4 linked regions of the Drosophila melanogaster genome follow. The protein of the gene in region 2 interacts with the protein of the main gene of each other region in a pairwise test. Each region holds a gene or a part of one and is shown on either strand. Other genes may lie near its edges. The genes, in order: Prosbeta2, PIG-S, CG10472 and Pdh.

Region 1 (4,100 bases), on a different chromosome or scaffold from region 2:
GTTTTTAAAGAGACAATTAAAATAAAAGAACTGTGAGCAAAAAAGAGAAACCCTAGCATTGGCAATTAAAAGAATATAGAATCATTAAATCGTAAAATAAGACCAAAGTGTTCTTTTATATAAATTCTGCCTTACGAATGCTAAATCTATAAATAATAAGAGCTATCCAGAATTTCATTCCATAAGATAATTAGCTTGTAAGTTAAAATGGTAAAAGCAGAATTTTGTTTGCTCATATCCTTTTAAAGACGGATTTTCTTTGTTATAACAAATTAGGACGCTCTTTAATGATTTACTTTTTTAACACTTACAGTATAGTTTTAAATATTAAAGAACGTTTTAAGATAATTGCAGTTGTTGTTGTTCCTCAAATGGTTCATTGGGCAGTCGTGCGGGGCTCTAAAATGTGTTTTAAATTTGTGACACAGCTCTTTATCGAAAAACGTCGAGATATACTCACAGGTTTCTTAGAACGCTCCTCCAATACACCAAATGCAACATGATTCAGTTGGAAGCCAGACGGCAGTGCAACGCCCTGAATGCGATAGAAAGCACCAGAGGGACCCTCCTCCGCAACTTTGTGGGCAGCCGAGATGACGCATTTCCCCAAAAAGCTGGTAGACGCCACCATTGGACCGCGTGAGATGTCGATATGATCACCCAGGCGATACAAGGTGACCCTTCCATTGGTCTGCTGCGAGATGCTGGGCAACTGTTCGCTCTTATACTTGGAATCCTTGAACATCTCCTGGGCCAGATCCTGTTGGACGTCCAAACGCTCGATGCGCAGATCCTGAGCAGCCAGTTTAACCATCTCTGCCGAAAGGGCGCGCATCTCTTCTTTTCCTGGCTCCCAGTTCTGGGTTTGGAGCACAATGTCGTGTACGAAGCTACCTGATTTGACTGTGAAATGTAATAGGAGTAATTTTATAATTTGTCTCGCTTATAGAATATTCCAGACAGTATTAGTTTTAAGATATATATCTATGAAATTTTCATCCAATTAAAAGGGGGAAAGACGAAACCTAGTAAAAAAAATATCCTAATCTTAAATCCTAAAAAGTGATTCTGCTTACTATTGGGTCCAGGAAAGCTGTGGAGCTGAAGATTGGCCTCCGGCTTGAAAGCGCGGTTCAAGGCGGCTCCCAACATAAAGCTGCAAGTGCGCCAGAATGCTCTAAAAGTAAACAACATAAGCAAGTTTAATATAAATGCCATATTATAAATAGTATAGCACTCACTTGTTGACCACATGTGGCTCGGAAACATGGAAGTTAAGCAGCTGCAGAGTACAGGATTCCTGCAAGGGTCTGTGCATATCCCAGGGAACACTGCCGTCGATCAAGGCCAGTGCCGATCGCTTACAGTGCCCCTCACTCAGATGCTGGGCGCAATTGAAGGGCGTTGAGATGTTGCCGTTCATCACCAGAGTGACATCCTCGGGAAGTCCCAGATACCGCACCTCGATCTTATCGATTCGACCCACTGCATCCCGTTGACGGCGCTGCTCCTGGTTGAACAGGTCATTCCGCTTGGCTAACGATGCAGAACTGCCACTAAAGTTGGCTGTAGGGATAATTAATAAGTTAAAAGACATATTTTATAGTACAGTTTCAACAAATTGAATTTAAATTATGGTTGACTATCTAAAATAATAACTGGGATCTATAGAAATTCTAGCGATTTTTCCGCCAAGACATCAACGAACTGCCATCACTAGCCGAAGAGCTCCGCGGAACGTGAATGACTGCCGGCATTATGTAAACCACTTCCTCCATCTTTGGTCAATAAAAGGACTCCTAATTAGTGTTACTTACCCTTAGTTCTGTATTGTTGAAGCTGCCGCAGGGCGCACCAGCTTGTTTTATGTAATTTGGTGGCCGCAGACATGGTAAATTACCAAAATACTCTTCAGGGATGCAGTTCACAAAAGTGATGGTACTATGCCAAGATGGTCAGGTGGAAACAGTATATCGATATTTTTCAAACATGACTATTCGCTTACAAAAGATAAGGGGCCTTCCTAAGCACTTATTGCATGTATACTGCGGGGAATATTTCCAAACATTAAAAAGTTTTAAAATTATACAATGCAACATTAAAATATTAAAATAATACAACATTGAATAATTTAAGTTACATAAGTCAAATTATTAATAACGTCAAATTATTAATAATTTATTTCTTCAATACTATCGCTCTAGTTGAGTCCATGAATATATATCGATACAATATCGATTGTACTTCCAGCTCTAGCAAGCATTTAACAATTTTGTTTGTCATCGCGCTCGGCAGAATTAAAACCTTAGTTTTCCTTGCTAATATAGTTGAATTGAAGAATATATATAATGGATTTGGATAACGCACGCGATCTGCCCCGCGCTGGTTTCAATTTCGACAACTGCAAGCGGTAAGAATCGTCCAAGTTGTTCAGCAATACCCCATCGGCTTTTATTAATTGGTGTTTTATTTGCTTTCAGCAATGCAACTCTTTTGAATCGAGGCTTCAAGCCACCGACCACCACCAAGACGGGAACCACAATCGTTGGCATCATCTACAAGGATGGTGTTATTCTGGGCGCCGATACGCGAGCCACCGAGGGACCCATTGTCTCGGACAAGAACTGCGCCAAGATCCATTACCTGGCCAAAAACATATAGTAAGTCCACCGACGGTATGCGCCTTTAAGTGCACAGGGAACCTAATAATACTATAAGAGGGATTACGGTATTTTTTCCTGCATTTCAAATGTGGGCCTATTTCCTTGTCCTCGCCGGCTTAGATCAATTTGTCTCCAATTTTAAGGGGCCCGTGTTTTAAGTTGAGGATCTTAGGGTGTAGCTTATGTTGCTCTAACTTAAAAATATGTGTACTTTCTAACATGCAAGTATCTCCCAATACCTAACGAAAATATTTACCTTCAGCTGCTGTGGAGCTGGAACCGCTGCGGACACTGAGATGACTACGGATCTCATCTCCTCCCAGCTGGAGCTGCATCGCTTGCAGACAGATCGTGAGGTGCGCGTTGTGGCCGCCAATACGATGTTGAAGCAGATGCTTTTCCGCTACCAGGGTCATATCAGTGCCGCTCTGGTGCTTGGTGGAGTGGATAAGACTGGACCCCACATCTATTCCATTCACCCACATGGAAGTTCGGATAAGCTGCCGTACGCCACCATGGGATCGGGTTCCCTGGCCGCCATGACCGTTTTCGAAAGTCGCTGGAAACCTGACTTGTCCGAAGAGGAGGGCAAGAAACTGGTGCGCGATGCCATCGCCTCCGGAGTGTTTAACGATCTGGGTTCGGGATCCAACATCGATCTGTGTGTTATCCGCAAGGGCAGTGTTGAGTATCTGCGCAACTATGAGCTGGCTAACAAGAAGGGCAAGCGCCAGTTGGACTACCGCTTCAAGACCGGAACCTCAACCGTGCTGCACACCAACATTAAGGACCTACTCGTCACCGAACGCGTCCAGGCGGTGCCCATGGAGATTTCTTAAAGCGATTCCCCTTTCTACCCTTTTCGTACATTTATTATAATAAAGCTTCGGCAGGATCTATATGGAGTGGTTCAATAAAGGAAGCCATGCTTCATCTTAAGTTGCTGTGTTTTTTTCTGGGGTTTTTATTAGACTAGCGATACTCCTAGGCGGACAATGCTTTGGTCATTAACGAACTCCTAGCCAGGGACCAAAAAATAATTATATTACAATGTTTTCCAAATTTAAGAATGTTTCCACATGGTTAGGGCACAGTGTCGAGTTTTGGTCCATCAATCTCTTTGTACTTTTACGATCCAGATTTTAAATAATTATTTTAAATTTAAATATTACCATGGAGCAATGATTTGAATTATTAAATACATTTAAATTAGGTAAAACAAAAAGGGGGTTTTGGTGATTTACGGACCCTGGCATAAATTAAATAATAACTATAAAAGAACATTAAAGCTTAAGAATTAATTTAGCTAATATCACATGGTACAGAGGGTCAATTCCTTACAGTTGAAGGCACTTTCCATCTCCTTAGAATAACGGGTTAATTGGCACCAAGAATTCACTTGATTGAGTCAGATCATACACACTCCTTCTAGGACTA
Region 2 (7,499 bases):
AACTGTTTACTTTTAATGCGCAAAGTTTGACGCCGACCCCGGCCCCGCCCCCTTTTTTTTAGGGTCTTCCGCCCTCAGCCCCTCCATCTGCTTTTTGGGGGCCCATTGCCAATTGAATTCCATGTTTAACGAGTTTTGACAGCCGCATTTTTGTAGCTTTTTCGTTTGCCTTCATCTGCGCATTTGCAATGGCATGCAATTGCGATGGCTTTGTCTAGTTTAAAAAGATATACCTCACATTCAAGAATACCCACAAATTCCAAATATTTGTGAGAAACTGTTAAAAAAAATTCCAACTCTACATACTTTCAAATTAACAATAAATTTAAGGAGGTAAACAGAAAAACCATTAAATTCTACCTATTGATCACTAACTAATGAAAATGATGAGCTAATAGAATAAGCATTCCTTTAAGCAAGTAATTATAATCGGTAAGTGATATTTTGAAATCAGTCGGAAACAAGACTTATTGGCAATATATGACTCACCCACCGACTGCGTGTCTGGCTGGCCTCCTGCCACGTCTGACATTCATCCGGCAGCGATCTCGCCGCTGAACCTGACCTATACGCGCCGTTCACACGCTGAGCGGACCGTGCTGGTCCGCCAGCAGCCAAGGCATCAAAATACAGCACTCCCAACGTTGAAAACTTTGGGAAAGATTAGTGGCACGTGGACTTGTTTTCAAAGCATTCAACTCTCTATGACAGATCAAAATTTTTGAGTTTTAAATCCATTTCCACCAGGTTTCTTTAAGATCTCATAGACCAAAATGTTGGCACGAATAATTTCTACCTACTTGTTATGCGCGGCAGTCTACAGTTTGAATATGCTGGAATACTATAGAACTGGCAAATCTAATCGACCGCGAGGCCCTGACGATGACATGTTCTACGTAAAACCGAAGTGAACCAATAAATCGCACCAGTAACAGCTTATAAAGAAAATATTGTTTTAATGAGGGATGATACTATTTGGTTATGGTTCGTTTACGACTGCTTCTCCTTCCGTCTGGCCTGCAGCACACCACGCAGCATGTTGAAGGAACTCAGTACAGGCACCATGATGGGCAAGAAGAGTGGAATGTAGATGGCGTACTTCTGCTCGTCCGGGAAGTACAACTGCGCCAGCAGGCTGGCGTCAAAGAATCCGCGCTCCGAGGCCACGAACGCACGCTTGGCCAGCACCGAAGCGTCCGCCAGTCGGTGCTCCAAAAGAGCAGCCTTGGCAGCCAAGATGTCGGCATAGGAATTTGTAATGGCGGCACCCACCTCGTCGTCTATCACAATGTAGCTGATTTGATCTAAACGAGAGGAGGAAGCGATTATTAAATAATATTGTCCAATTAAGGTGGTTATTAAACTTCTCAAGCAGTACAGATTCAATAAAAATAGCGTCAACCATTTTAAAAGCTACTTAATTATAAAGCGGAAATTGCAAATAGTTCATTTTTAATTGTCGAAGAGCCCTGAGTTTTGTATAATATCAGAAATAGGAATAATAAAAATGTTGACTAAACATCCTTCATTGGTATCTTTAAAAACGTACCCAACAGTTTGATGAGGCTCTGGAGCGTGCTGCTTGCTGTGGATATGTGTCGAATGGCACTGCGTCTTAGGTATGCTTCATACTCCCAGCGACGTGGCTCCAGTTGCTCGATATCCACCACCTTAACGCCCTCCATCTGAAGCTCACTGCTGATGTCGAGCAGCTTGTGCAGCTGGTCCAGCATCACCTGCATGTTGTCCGTGGTGCTGACATGGTAGGGAACTGCCTCCTGATCGCTCATGGCCGCAAGGCACACATGCTCTGGCGGATTAGCAATGATGAAGCCACCCCAGGGTGGCGAAATGAAGGCATCCACGTCGTTCCGCGTCAGCCGCTGATCCTTGCTGTTGTAGATGTGAAGCGGAGCGATGTGGCACGGTGGAATGTACACCACCAGGTTGATGGCCGGCTTGTCGGTGGTGCTGGCGCTTAGATTCTGGGCAATCGATGTCAGCAGATGAGGCAGAGCGGTTTCCTGGAGGGCGTAGTGTCGCCCCAATTTGCTCTGGTCGCGCACCTGCTTGAGATCAGCCTCGATGGCCACCCGGTACTTCCACTGCGATCGCACCGTGTAATTGGAAACACCGGACACCTTAGCCAACCAGGGCTCAATGTAAGCTATTGAAAATGTAAATTGGCATAAGTAAGTGAAGACTTTTTGTGGTTTTTCAATACTTACTCTTCACAGCCATTGCTATGTTCCACTTGGCATGGGTGAGTCTCGGTTTCGGATTCAGGACAGAGACAATCACATCGTAGGCTGGTTGCGGAGCTTCCGACTTGGCGCCCATCCGCTCATCGGTACTTAAAATTTGATTTATGCGATACGTCTGCAGGATCTTGGCGTGCAGGAGCTGGGCGATTTTGTTGGAAGCTAGGAGGTGTTAAAACAGCATTATTAGTTTAGCTAACTAATCTTTAATTTACTAGAGTAATTTTAGCTTAGTCCTTGAAATTTTAAGGAAAGGGTTTCATTGGGCATTAAAAGTATTCGAAAGCATTCGTAATCCTCGATAGTATAGTGGTTAGTATCCCCGCCTGTCACGCGGGAGACCGGGGTTCAATTCCCCGTCGGGGAGACCGATAAAATATATATTTCTTTTTAAAACCGCATTATCATGTAAATAATAAATTATGCGCTATACTTCTACTTTTAGAATTATTTCAATAATAGAAGGTGAAGTAACAGACAATAAAAGATTTGAAAAAAAAAAAAAAATGAAAATCTCATTTCTCCCAGACGGGGAATTGAACCCCGGTCTCCCGCGTGACAGGCGGGGATACTAACCACTATACTATCGAGGACCTTAAAAACTTCGGACATAAAAAGCCAACAAGTGTTTCCGTATCATTGCAATAGACTCACGTGTATCACTTCGCATCAGTGCCGATCTTTCGGTGGTTAGTAGCAGCTCCTCCTGCAGTTTGGGCCACTCGATGAACATGAAGTCGCCAACGCTCTGGACATGGTTCTCCAGCAACAGCTTCTCCAGAGCAGCTGGCGTGTGTGCTTCCTGGGTCATTGGCGTAGGAGATAGCTGCTTGAATTCCACAGACCATATTTCTAATGGGAAATGCATGCCGTTTAGAAATATGAATGGATAATGAATTTGCACCTACCATTGTCGCTGAAGGCGTTCTGCAGTTCGGCGATGAGCAACTGGCCACGACTGGTCTGTTGTGTGTAGATGGCCACCTGCACAGCCGTTTTGATCGGAATTTTACTCAGACTCAAAATTTCCGTCGAGGGCAAATTGACTCTGCGATTGCAACATTTAGGTATAATTGGAAAAACGCCGCCAGACATGGTTGACTCACCTGTAGACTGTGGTGGTGCGCCACCACATGGGCACGCCAATTCCAATGATGACCACGATAAATGCTAGTGTAGCCCCGATCCGGAACTTATCTGTAAAGTTAAAGAGAAGTGTTTGATTAGTTCCTGATTTATCGCGGTCGTAAGCGTTCTTTGGGTTCACACTTTATTACTTCGACAAAAAACTATAATATTTTGATTTGTGTTTTATAAAGTTTATTATGTAAATTAGTTTCTGTACAGGAGAACGGTATGAATGTTAATAGTCCTTGACGAGTAATTGTGCGCATGTTGTGAAACAGGATCACATGCTACTCCTTGTAGCTGCACGAAATAACAAAAACAGGTCCCTTTTCAAGGGGCGTGTTGCGCGACACGTATTTGGTGAACTTGGTGGTGCCCTCGCACCGGTATACTATGTTCAGGGCGTTGTCCACCGGCGTGATAGTAAGCAGAACGGAATCGTCCTCTTCCTCGTCATCGTAGTCCGATCGCCTTCCGTCCGTCGGTGCTTTTGCTGTTGGCATTTCGGCGTCGGGTGCGAGGTATGTGATCACCGCTGCTCCTTCTGCCGCGTTCAGGTAGTAAACCAGGTCCAAAGTGTTCTCCTCGCTGGTCAAACCGTCGCCCAGCACTGTGTAGTTGCCGTGGGACCAGCGCTGCAGTTCCACGCTGCATGTTGGACTTTCGGCATCGGTGCCTGCCAAATCCAGATCGGTGAAATCTCGCAGCAAATCAAACATGGCGTGGCTACGGAACAGTTGCAGTAGTTCCAGTATGGTGCCTCTGGCTGTTGTCAAATCCAGCACTTCATAGTTGTGTGCGTTTGCGGGTCCCTGTCTTCGCCACTTCAAGGTATCCGAATCGGCCAACAGCTGCGACCGGGCCAATTCGAATTTCTCTCGCTTGAAGAACTCGTATAAACAAATCTCGGAGTTTTCTTCGATCCGCTTTTGGATGCTCCGGCGGGTGGCCCCCTTTAGATACACGTTGTTTAGAAACAGGCCAAGCGGTGGCCTATTAAGGCCATCAGGTTGCAGGTAATTCAGGCGGGGAAAGGCGCGCAGGGAGTCGGCCACGAAGGCCTCATTGGTATCGCCGTGGAACCATCCGTTTATGGTAAGACGCGGGTAGTCGAATGTAGTAACCTCGCCTACTTGGTGGAAGGAGCGCGAGCCCACCTTGAAGAAGGCAAACTGGTTGTCTTTGGGGGCGATCTTTCGCTGCACTGGAAACTGTGGAAAGCACTGATCGTCGCTACCGAAGATCTCTAGGCATCCGCCCTGCTCATCCGTCCATTCCTCCGCTCCTTCCCAAGGCGATAGATAGTAAATGAAGGCCACTTGTCGGTCCTTAAGCAGATCGTCGTGCACGAGCAGATAGTCGCCGCAGGTGTACATGCTGCAGGAGGCGGACACATAGTCCAGCTTGAGGTTGGTAACCTTCTCCAGCCAGGGACGCACTTGTTTGCGCAGCACCTGCAGGAAGTTGGTCAACAGTCGGCAAGCGGGCATGTTGGAGAGGTCGGCGCTCTGGTAGAACTCATACAAATCCATCTGTTTGCGCGACCACTGCACCTTCTGGATGATCTCGGCGACCAGCGCCTGGCTTTGGCCCTTCTCCAGCATGCCGGGCAGAAGGCAGATTTGAAAGGGATCCGAGAAGACCTGAGCACCGGTTTGCGTCTCCTTGGTCCCTTGGCTCTTCTCCTCCGTCCAGGCTGTTTGGAGCCACTTGGTAAGTTCCGGTTGCTGATACGCCTCGTTCAGGAGCACTTCGTTCGTTTCAAGGATGTCGCCCAGGCGCAAAAGCTTCCTGTGCGGCTCGCCCACCTGATCTGCGGAATCCTCCTGCTCTGCACGACCATCTGCAAGGGCAACATAGTGAATGGGTTTGCATTAAGCGAGGCAAACAGGGGCATACCTTAAACTTTAATTTGGCTATTTTTTACGCACACCAGCACTCACACACGCGTTATCAAAGGCAAAGGCAAAATCAAAGGCACCGATGTGCCGGCACACCTCGCTTTATCGTTTTGGGGCAGATTTCTCACTGTTTCCACTTACCTTCGTCCTTGTCTTTTCTCCTGGGCTTTACTGGACTGGAGCTCGAGGTTTCCATGATGCTGTGAGTCAAATTTTCGGTTAAAAACGTGAATTTTTGCCAGGGAAAATAAAAAAATTGGCTTGTGCAGCTAGAGATGGTAGCTCGGAAATATCGGTTGTTCTGTGCAAGTGTTGGGTAGTTAGCTTATTCCACGCAGTATCAAATACCTAGCTAAAGTTTAGTAGCTAAAAACTTTTGGCATTATATTGTAAACAATAAAGGGCGTATATAAGTAATAATATATAATATAATAATATATTGAAGGCATTCAGCATTAGCATTCAACTCACTAATCACACTTTCATTTTATACTGATCATCACTGATTGTACGTGAGTGTCGTGTGTTTCGTCGTCGCCTCACGCCTCCATCCCTAGCCAATTAGTAACGAACAATTGCTCGATCGGCTCCACGTAAATAAAGTTTAGATCACAGCTTTGTTGATTGCTTATCGCGGTGGCAAATATAGTTATTCGTTTATGGCTGTAAACTTTCGAAACGGACGTGGACATAGCCGGTAAATTAAAACTTGAAGATAAAACCTAGCTGGTGACAAAGAAATTCCAATTGGAGCAGTCCAATGCCGTGGAATGACCTTGGAAGAGGCGGAGCCACCATTCAGCCCTCCATATTATAAACAAAAATACTATTGTGGAATGTTCACAGCTATTTTGTATAAAAAAAATATTTGGCTATCAGTCTGTGCGTGCTAGGGCCAAACAGCTGATTCCGCCTGGCTGCCACCTGATTTGTTGGGGGTGTGAGTGGGGCTGGGGCTGTGGTATTCTGTATGCTCGCGATGATCTCATTGTGTTGGAATCGGAGCAAAAGCTAAACTAAACAACTTGACATGTGTTCTTCTGCTCCTGTGTAGCTACCTAGTGTTGGAGGATACGGAGGAGCAATGGGCAAGGATCAGCATTTGCTGGAGGCTTCGCGAGCCGGCGACATCAAGACGGTGGACAAACTGCTGGAGCACTCGAGCAAACGACATGGCCCGCTGTCCAGGTGAGTCACCAGCAGCAACTGTTGTTATTCCAGGTAGTTTACTACAGGTTTTCCTTTACAGTTTTAGGCGAAGTCCCAGCATCAACTGCCAGGACATGAATGGCTACACTTCGCTGCATCACGCCTGTCTAAATGGGCATAGCAACATTGTACGGCTACTACTCTCCCACAACGCGCTGTTGGATGTGCCTGATATACGTGGCTCGACACCTTTATTTCTGGCTGCCTGGGCTGGGCACCAGGACATCGTCAAGATGCTGTTGATGCACTCGCCTACGGGAGCCAATCCGAATGCCCAGACTATCGAAAACGAGACGCCGCTGCACTCAGGCGCCCAACATGGCCACAATGCCGTGGTGGCCATTTTGCTGTCCTATGGCGCCGATCCTGCCATACGCAACAATAGCTTTCAAACGGCTCTGGATTTGGCAGCGCAATTCGGACGCCTTCAGGTGGTTCAGACCTTGCTCCGTGTTTATCCCGACCTCATATTGCCGTATAAGCGTTTGGAAGATGACAATGAAGAGCTGCTGGGCTGCATGCCCATAAAGCACATATTCACGCACACCTGCCTGCACCTGGCCAGCAGGAATGGGCACAAGAAGGTGGTGGAAACACTGCTGGCGGCCGGCGTCGATGTCAACATACTCACCAACGCTGGAAGCGCTCTCCACGAGGCGGCTCTCTGTGGCAAAAAGTCCGTTGTGGTCACTCTGCTTAAGGCCGGTATCTACGTACACGCCACCGATGGAAACGGACGCACAGCCCTGGACATACTCTCCGATTATCCGCCGCATGTGACCTACGACATTGTGGGCGCCATAAACGGTGCGTACGAGTAAGAAGTAGAAGAAATACAATAAAGGGGCTATGGGTAGTGGCTGGAAATGCTTATCTTTACTGATATCTAAAGTTAATACAGCTCTTCATAAAGCTTTGTAATTCAAAACATTTATTTACTCTATTTGTAATAAATGTTACACCCTATTTATTGAAGGCAACCAAATAAGATCGAAATTAT
Region 3 (4,660 bases), on a different chromosome or scaffold from region 2:
CGAAAACTTCCAAATCTACCCTACCTGGAATCCAAAGAGATTAAAGGATGACATTGCTATAGTAAGACTCCCTCATGCCGTCAGCTTTAATGGTGAGTTCTGGTCCTTAACAAAGTGAACTACCTATCTCTGAAATATACATAATTTTAGAGCGCATCCATCCCATTCAATTGCCGAAGAGGCACTACGAGTACCGCAGTTTTAAAAACAAACTGGCCATCGCATCTGGTTGGGGTCGTTATGCCACCGGAGTCCATGCGATCAGCAATGTGCTGCGCTACGTCCAGCTGCAGATAATCGATGGACGGACTTGCAAATCCAACTTCCCGCTATCCTATCGAGGTACAAATATATGCACCAGTGGAAGGAATGCCCGTTCAACTTGCAATGGTGATTCGGGAGGACCTTTGGTTCTCCAAAGGAGGCACTCGAAGAAGAGAGTCCTGGTGGGAATTACATCCTTTGGCAGCATATACGGTTGTGATCGAGGCTATCCGGCGGCCTTCACCAAAGTTGCCTCATATTTGGATTGGATCAGCGATGAAACTGGTGTAAGTGCCCACCAGGATACCACGGAGGCAATATTTTTCGACCAGTATGTGAGGGAATATGGGAAACCACGTCAAAGCCGACGCTTGGAAACGGAGGAGCAGTTGGAAGACGATGTGCCCGACGAACTAGATGTGCATCCGAGACCCGCTTCCGATGAGGACATCTCCGAGAATGTCAGACCGCGAACACGGTCACGCCCGCATTCCGAACACGAGTTCTATTTCTTGTAACCCAAAAATAAACGTTTATTTTAAGATCAAAATCAACGCTTAGTCGCCGTTGTTGACCACACCACTCTTCTCTTCGATCCAGTCCAGGTAGTAGGTGATACGGGTGAAGACACCGGGCCATCCCACCTCGCAGCCGAGAGCAATGCCGAAGGAGGTGGCTCCAATCAGGGTGTTGCTGCCGTCATCCAGGACCAAAGGACCGCCGGAGTCGCCGTTGCAGGTGGAAATTCCGCCGGTGGTCTTGATGCAAATGTTGCTGGCGGCAACCAGACCGAAGTACCAGGGAGAGCAGCCGCTGTTGTTCATGATGGGAACCGTAGCGTACTGCAAAATGTCGGTCGCTCCGGTAGCAGCTGTGTGGAAAGTAAGGAAATATAGTTTAGAACAGTTCTAAGATATTTATAGGAACTACGATTAAAAACATTTTTGAAGATTAAAAACTCATTAAAAAATTAATAATAGAATACTAAACTAACAAAGGATTATAAATAAAGTGTAAAAACAATGTTGCGAAATAACAACAAAAGCAGAAAAGAGTCCATAAAAATCGAATTTTGATAATAAATTTTAAGTGGCCTTTTAATCCAAAGGTAAAATAAAGCGTGAAATTGGGTTTTTTCGATCGTAAATTGCATTAACGAAATACCAAAAATAGAATTTTCTGATAATTTTAGTCACTTTCTAGAATAATTTTGGTTTCTTTTACTTAGTATTTAGTATTTAATATTTAGTGTTAGGATAGATACATTCGCCTCTATTCTACGACCTAAACTAACTCTCTAACCTAACTCTCACTACATATTTTTCGAGTGCTAAACTTGCTGGTTACGTTAAAAGAGCTTAACTTTCTCTAGTAGTTATAAAATTGTAGTTCAAGGGTGTAAGGGTCACTTACAGTCGCTGATCTTGCCCCATCCGGAGGCAATGGCATTCTCTCCGCCGTAGGTGCTGTAGCTGTCGGATTTCACGGGCAGCTTAGCGGGCTGGATGTACTCTGTAATGTATATTAGATAATTGAGAATTTCTGCTATAAAAACCAGTAACGAAGCACTCACTGTTGAACTCAATGGGCACTGGCAACTTGATCAGGGAAATGTCGTTGGTGATGGTCTCGGCGATCCAATCCTCGTGCACGATCACATTCTTTGTCTCCACGAAGATGATCTGCTGTCCCTCCTCCTTGGCGTTGGTGCGATCGTGGGCGCCCAGGTAGACATCCACTCCGGTGGTCAGGCTGTCCGTGCAATGGGCGGCGGTGATGATCCAGCGGTCACTGATGATGGTGCCTCCGCACCAGGCAGCTCCTCCAGTGATGTACAGCAGTAGTCCCACCTGGTAGGGGAACTGGTTGGGCTCGGCAATCTGTCCTCCAGTAATCCTACCGCTGGGCAGGGTCTCGCCATGGACCTTGGGCATCGGGGTCTCGATGTTCAGGTTCTTGACCGAATTCCAGTCCACAGCCTGGGCCCCAAGAATGGTGGCCAAGAGCAGAACCGTAGCGCAGGCGAATTTCATTTTGATCACAACTAAAGTGTTGGCCAAGAACTCGGGCACTTTTATACGGATTTTAAAAGGAGCGTGGGTATCGTAATTCATTGATAATCTTTGGTGAATTAACCCGGCTGTAGTTAACCGAGGTGATTTATAATCGTCTATTTGCCACTACTGATAGAGCCGATGCTACCGATATTCCAAGTGATAAGCAGGGCAAGCAAACCAAGAAGTGTGAATCGATTTGGCCTATATTGGCAATAAAACCCAATCATGAGCAGATTAATCAGTTCGTAGTAGGCTTATCTATTGCAGTGATGACAAACCAAAGGTAATTAACCATTTAACGATGGTATATTAAAGGTTTTCTGAAACTAGTATTATGTTGACCTAAGACTTATAATAATAATTTCTTAAATAGAATATTTTACTAGAACAAAGCAAATCACCTTTGGAATGTTATATTCTTTTGATAATGTAATTGTATTATCTTTGCTAGAGCTTATCTGTAACACTTGTATTGGCGGCGATAGCAAAACCGCCGACATCGATTAGCAAAGGGGTTTTGTGATTTAATTGCATAACCCATAGTGCCCACATTCATAATTCTACCAGTTTAAACTGCGATGTGCCTATGATATGAGTAAACAGTCCGATCGTACGTGTGAACTTCCTGCCGACTCATTATGATGTCATAACAGCCGATGCACTTCCCTCAATTCAATTAAAAGGTTCGGTATTTTCAAAACAACTTCCAAACTTAATTAAAGCATGATACTTATGGAATCAAATGGAAATAAAATAAGTAAAAAAACAAAACAGCTGAAACAAAAGCGGAGAACTAAGCGAGACATGAATCAAAACGGAAATGGATTTAATGCAACAATTTTTGTTTGCTCAATTGAAGGTCGTCTTAAAGTTGAGCGGGCCCAAACAAAAGCCGTCAGTCACAATAATCTGGCCGAGACGAAGTCTAACTGGCCACAAGTTCACAGAGAAGAGCCACAGAGAACCCCCGTACCGTTTCCCATAGAAGGACAGATTTACCCATTTAATTAGCACAGCTTTCTAAAAATTATACAGCTCAAACGACACCTGTCAAGTGCCCAGGTAGGCAGGCACACATAAAACCGAATTACCCATATGACACTATCTCGTTATAAATCTAAAACATAGCCGTTCTATTAGCTTCGCAACAATCGTTGATAGATACATTTAGCAAATTGGCAATAATAAATGGCAAAAGTCCTTGAAGCAGGCCCACCACAGCAGAGCTAATTAAAACATTAAATGCGTAGCAAACTTTTAAACTGTAACAAAAAACACATAGCCAACTGAATCCAAATCAAACTGGGTGTGAAGCTCGTTTCAGAGGGTCGAACACTTAAATACACTAGGATGTTCATAAAGTCCAACCATCAGAGGAGAATAACTTTACGATGTATATCTAGTGTGAACAAACAAAACTATGATTAAATTTAAATCATCAAACTCTGAAACCGCTGAACTTCAACGGCTGTTGATCCAATTTCATTGATGATCCACATATCCCCACATGATAAAAATATCTTAATTCAAATGCATGGCAAATGTCTAATCTTATTTATGTTACATACACTTAGCAAGTGTATAATAATAATGTAATTTATAAGGCGGGATTAAACTGGTTTAAAGCAGCAGCGGTCAAGAGAACAATATTTTCGAGTGCAGTTGTAATGAGAAGCGAAATTATTTGATATGGGTGCGACTTCATAATTAATAAAAATGCATACATGCGCCGCCGCCCCCGGTGTGTAACATCTTAAATATCTTAAATTGAAAACACGAAATTTGTAAATAAATAAGATAAAAAGGCATAAACACATCCAAATATTAATTTAACAGTTAAGCTCTGAATGAAATATATGTATCCGTCTAATTGCATGCACGCACTCTTACACAGAAACACAACAATCATATGCAGAATTCAAATCGAACGCGTTCAAAATTAATTTGATGTGTAAATCTTTCAAAAGTGTGTCTCGAAAAGGAATAATGATGATTGCCAGTTTAGGAAGGAGGAACAAGTAGTCCTAATAAGACGAAGACGATAATAAATAAGATAAGTTACAATCGTAAATAAGAAAATACTTTTACTGGAAAATGTTATGAGTTTGAAGAATTTTTCGCACTTATGTGAAATTCGTTTGATTAAAATCACAAGGAGTTTTCTCGACATAGGAAGAATGTTTATCTAATCATTTAAAATATATATGTTAATTAATAAAAAAAACCAAAATGTCTTAGCGGAAAAGTAATTTACACTGTTAATTGTTTTTTTTTTTTTTCAAACCATTGTGAAATACGTATTAGAATTTAATTTTTTGATGCACTACGCTATTATTTAA
Region 4 (4,141 bases), on a different chromosome or scaffold from region 2:
ATCTTTGGCGAAACTATAGACATTGCAGTGGGCAATTGCCTGGATCGATTCGCCCGCATCATTAAGCTGTCCAACGATCCTAGTCCGGGCTACAACATCGAGCAGCTGGCCAAGTCGAGCAATCGTTATATTAAACTGCCCTATGTGGTTAAGGGCATGGATGTCAGCTTCTCGGGGATTTTATCCTACATCGAGGACCTGGCAGAGCCGGGCAAGAGGCAAAATAAGAGAAAAAAGCCACAGGAAGAAGAGGTCAATAATTACAGCCAAGCCGATCTTTGCTATTCGCTGCAGGAGACCATCTTCGCCATGTTGGTGGAGATCACAGAGCGCGCCATGGCACACTGCGGCTCAAATGAGGTTGGTTGCAACAGTTTTCCGAAATTAATCTATGAGTTAACCGACTTCTTTTCAGGTCCTTATAGTTGGAGGTGTGGGTTGCAATGAGCGACTCCAGGAGATGATGCGTATTATGTGCGAGGAACGCGGAGGCAAACTCTTTGCCACTGATGAACGTTACTGCATAGACAACGGACTAATGATTGCCCATGCTGGTGCAGAAATGTTCCGCTCTGGCACTAGGATGCCCTTTGAGGAATCTTATGTGACTCAGCGATTTCGAACGGACGAAGTGCTGGTCAGCTGGCGGGATGACTAATCACCACAAGAACTTATTTCTGTGCATCGTTTGTTTATTAAATAACTAGTGTCCATAATAACTTCATATTTGTAAAATGCATGTGTTTAGGATGTGAACGAATTAACCCACTTAAAGGGCCTGTTCCTTGCCCGTCCACTGGGGCTTAATTTCCAAAGGGTAAACGCGCTTACCCTCGATGACATAGACAGCTCCGTTCTTGTCCTTCTCCAGGACATTCAGAATGCATCGAGAGACATCAGCGGCACTCTGCTTGTTTAGCCTATCCAGGATCCTATAGGTCTCGTCACTCGTTTCCGGGAAGATGATCTTCTCCGTAAAGTTGGTGAACATGTCCGTCATTGTAGCTCCAGGACAAACAGTCACAAACTTGATGCCCGAGCGTTGATAGTACTTTTCGTTCTAATTAAGAAAGAGACTTAAATGAAAAACCTAATTCAAAAGATATGTAAGAAATTCTTGTTACCGCCAAGCACCGGGTGAAGTTGATGATGCCAGCCTTGGTGGCTCCGTAAACGGGAATGATGAACATTGGATCCAGACCCACCACCGAGCTCATGTTAACCACAATGCCACCCTTGCCGCCATTATCCTTGCCCATGTAGGGCAATGCACTCAGTGTGGAATTGATGATTCCACCGAGATTTACCAACAGAGTCCTCTGCACATCCTTGTCGTTAAAAATCCCGGCTACATTGACCACAATATCGATGTTACCGAAGGTCTTGGCTATCTCCTCATAGGTGGCTTCCACACCCTTCTTGTTCGCCACATCCATCTTGATGATCATTACGCTTTGGGTGGGATGAGCGGCCCTAAGTTTTACAAACTCCTCCAGATTATCCTGCAAATCAATGATGGCCACCTTCTAGGAAGCACTCGCTTTAGAAATTACTTCACGTAATTATGTGTAAAACAACCAACCGCTGCTCCAGCGGCCAGGAGCTGCTTGGACACCTGCAGTCCAATGCCTCCAGCTCCACCGGTCACCACTGCATTCTTGCCGCGAAAGGACATCTTGGTCTGGCTGATTCGTGTAGTAGTCGGTGGTATTCCTTGTGGCTTCATCAAGCACTGAGCTCCTCAGTTGCACTGCTGACTTGGAGCTGTAATGTTCGCCGCTTTTATACCTATTTCCCAAGGGCTATATGATATATCGTTGAGTGACTTTGGTTCGACTGCAATCAATAGCTAGTTTTCCACCTGCTCTGGGTTAGGATTATGCAACTTATGCCCATATATCAATTTCCATCCCCATCTGGTCGCTGTAGCGTTCAGTCTGCTTCACACCGCTCCGGTTTTTCGATGTCAGCTTTGCATCAGTGATAATGTCATTGTGTAGATAAAGCAATGATCTCTTAATAACTATCTTCCAGTGAAATCTTTGCTTTTAAGAAGGTACACATGTTGGGCATTTTTCAAAGATCTTACAATTAAATGTATATTTCGATTTACAAAACCATCTTAATTGCTTTAAAATTTTGGTTTTTTAAATTGTATTTCCTCCCAATACAAATTTTAGCAATGCAAATATTTTAAAGTGTATTTATTCAAGCAAAATTCTTGTGAAAACATAACATATATCTACATATGTATGTCGTATATCTTTGGTTTCCATATGTGATATTTAAATTTCTTTCACAAATTGTAATATTAAAAGTTTATCTGTTATCTTAAGACTACCAAACATGGGTTTGATTGCCATGAAATGTATATAAATTTGATTTGGATTTACTTTTGAACTCTTTTTGGGCCGCTTCAAAATTTTACGTATCAAAGGACAAAGAAGGATAAACAAAGTAAAGGAACTCAAAAATTATAATCAAAAATATAAGTTTATTTGTAAGCACTTAAATTATCACAAACTTATTATATACACAAAGATAAATTAGATTGGGAGACATTAACTAGGGAAACACAAAAGTTAGAAATACAGATTTATGAGAGGGTGAAAAACGGTGGTTACCCCATCTAGTGGGCATTGTCGTAGGTGTCCTTGTGCTGGTAGCCACTCACATATCCGGATCCATCGACCACGTTCCGTCTGCCCGCGATACCCTTGCCCTTTCCGGAGGCATCGAAACGCTCCTTGTGGGAACCGGTGTACTTGCTCGTATCCGTCAATCGATCCACGGCAGCTGCGGCTTTTCCAGCCTAAAAATGGTAACAAAATGTTGATTAGGTTTTCAATAAAGGCATAAAGTATATGGTTATGACTTTCAAAGGTTTAAAAAGATATTTTTTAAGAACTTCTGTAAGAAAACTACTTTAACAATTGATAGTTTAAATGAGTCAAAAAAAAATCATTTAAATTTTGTCATATCTAAATGGTCTTCTCGAAGTTCTTTACACTTTAAAATCAATCTTAATCATTTGACTTATATAGATCATATTTTTCACAACCAATTTATCAAACCCACCGAAACGGACACAACTCCTGGAGCTCCACAACTGGCCAACTTTTGCTTGATCTCCGACAGCTCCACCTTTTTCGTCTTGGCCAGATCGTCCAGGAATTTGTTGTAGTCGCTGAGCGAGATCTTCATGGCCTTGAACTTCTTGAAGTGGATGCCTGTATCCGTGGTGGTGATCTTCTTGTCGATAACTTTGGCCTGTTTCATCCACTTGTCACTCTGCGACAGCGTTATCAGCTTGCCATCGGACTTGGAGTCCCCGAACTTGGAGAAGGCCTTGAACTGATCCGAAAAGCTAACCTTGGGCTCATCCTCCAGCGCCAATTGGGCCAACTCGGTAGCGGGCACCTCAGGAGTTGGCGCTGGGGAGGGGCTTCCATTTGCTGCAGCTACCTCGGACATGGTGGATCTGAAAAATATATTTAATATTATATATATTTTTTTAACCTTTACTGAACCCTACAGGTGTTTTAATAGATGCCCAGTAATAAATAAACAACTACGGACAAAGAACCTTCAATTTTACAGATGGACTGAGGATCATTTATTATTAATAATATGCCTAGCCTGATAGGTCATTGTTTTGTTTAACATTTTGTAGTGGTTTCTTCCAACACGCAACTTTTCCGCTCCTGCGTAATCGGTTGACTACGGTTGTCACCTACGCAGTTCCTCACCTGTGGGCCACAACGCTCACCAACATTGCGGTGGGTCTTGTCCGTCACTGTCAACTATCTACATATGTAGGTGCTATTCCCAGACGTATCTTTGCGAACACCTTATCAGTACTTTACTCACTTCGCTTTCGCAATGATATCACAACCCATGCTGAACTGGACAAAGGCAAAGCTATACCCACCCAAAGCTAGGCCAAAGCTCTCTCAGCTAGATTTCGAGAGATGGAAATCTAAAGGCAAATTGGGAGAGACTCAATCATTAGATGGCGTCATCGGTTTGGGTCCCCCATCTCCCAACGCAGCTAATTATCGCCTTTTGGCAAACCCAAATACACAAAACAAATAGTCAACAGGTTTGGCTCACATGGGTTACTCTATGGGGGTCAGAACTT

Evidence for each region.
Region 1: the proteins of PIG-S (region 2) and Prosbeta2 interact in a two-hybrid assay, tested with the Drosophila melanogaster proteins (one large-scale study listed by BioGRID).
Region 3: the proteins of PIG-S (region 2) and CG10472 interact in a two-hybrid assay, tested with the Drosophila melanogaster proteins (one large-scale study listed by BioGRID).
Region 4: the proteins of PIG-S (region 2) and Pdh interact in a two-hybrid assay, tested with the Drosophila melanogaster proteins (one large-scale study listed by BioGRID).

What each region holds. Positions count from the first base shown.
Region 1 is NT_037436.4:14,997,720-15,001,819, forward strand, and holds Prosbeta2 (proteasome beta2 subunit), read left to right. Parts: upstream 1-2,231; 5' UTR 2,232-2,348; coding exon 2,349-2,410; intron 2,411-2,480; coding exon 2,481-2,660; intron 2,661-2,925; coding exon 2,926-3,502; 3' UTR 3,503-3,600; downstream 3,601-4,100. Other genes in the region: mRpL39 (mitochondrial ribosomal protein L39), read right to left, coding at 340-399, 461-903, 1,077-1,177, 1,242-1,566, 1,818-1,890.
Region 2 is NT_033777.3:24,912,278-24,919,776, forward strand, and holds PIG-S (phosphatidylinositol glycan anchor biosynthesis class S), read right to left. Parts: upstream 5,588-7,499; 5' UTR 5,487-5,587; coding exon 5,432-5,486; intron 5,233-5,431; coding exon of another isoform or gene 3,677-5,232; exon of another isoform or gene 3,563-3,676; intron 3,459-3,562; coding exon 3,368-3,458; intron 3,310-3,367; coding exon 3,170-3,309; intron 3,114-3,169; coding exon 2,916-3,113; intron 2,855-2,915; exon of another isoform or gene 2,783-2,854; intron 2,629-2,782; exon of another isoform or gene 2,557-2,628; intron 2,424-2,556; coding exon 2,229-2,423; intron 2,168-2,228; coding exon 1,550-2,167; intron 1,409-1,549; exon of another isoform or gene 1,305-1,408; coding exon 991-1,304; 3' UTR 939-990; downstream 1-938. Other genes in the region: sud1 (sudestada1), read right to left, coding at 3,677-5,232, 5,432-5,486; CG11168 (uncharacterized protein), read left to right, coding at 6,375-6,478, 6,540-7,306.
Region 3 is NT_037436.4:6,060,597-6,065,256, forward strand, and holds CG10472 (uncharacterized protein), read right to left. Parts: upstream 2,315-4,660; 5' UTR 2,298-2,314; coding exon 1,838-2,297; intron 1,777-1,837; coding exon 1,678-1,776; intron 1,136-1,677; coding exon 822-1,135; 3' UTR 783-821; downstream 1-782. Other genes in the region: CG6592 (uncharacterized protein), read left to right, coding at 1-92, 151-782.
Region 4 is NT_037436.4:16,352,556-16,356,696, forward strand, and holds Pdh (photoreceptor dehydrogenase), read right to left. Parts: upstream 1,743-4,141; 5' UTR 1,727-1,742; coding exon 1,583-1,726; intron 1,527-1,582; coding exon 1,125-1,526; exon of another isoform or gene 1,061-1,124; coding exon 770-1,060; 3' UTR 678-769; downstream 1-677. Other genes in the region: Tcs3 (Threonyl-carbamoyl synthesis 3), read left to right, coding at 1-360, 416-658; ringer (ringmaker), read right to left, coding at 2,630-2,812, 3,079-3,474.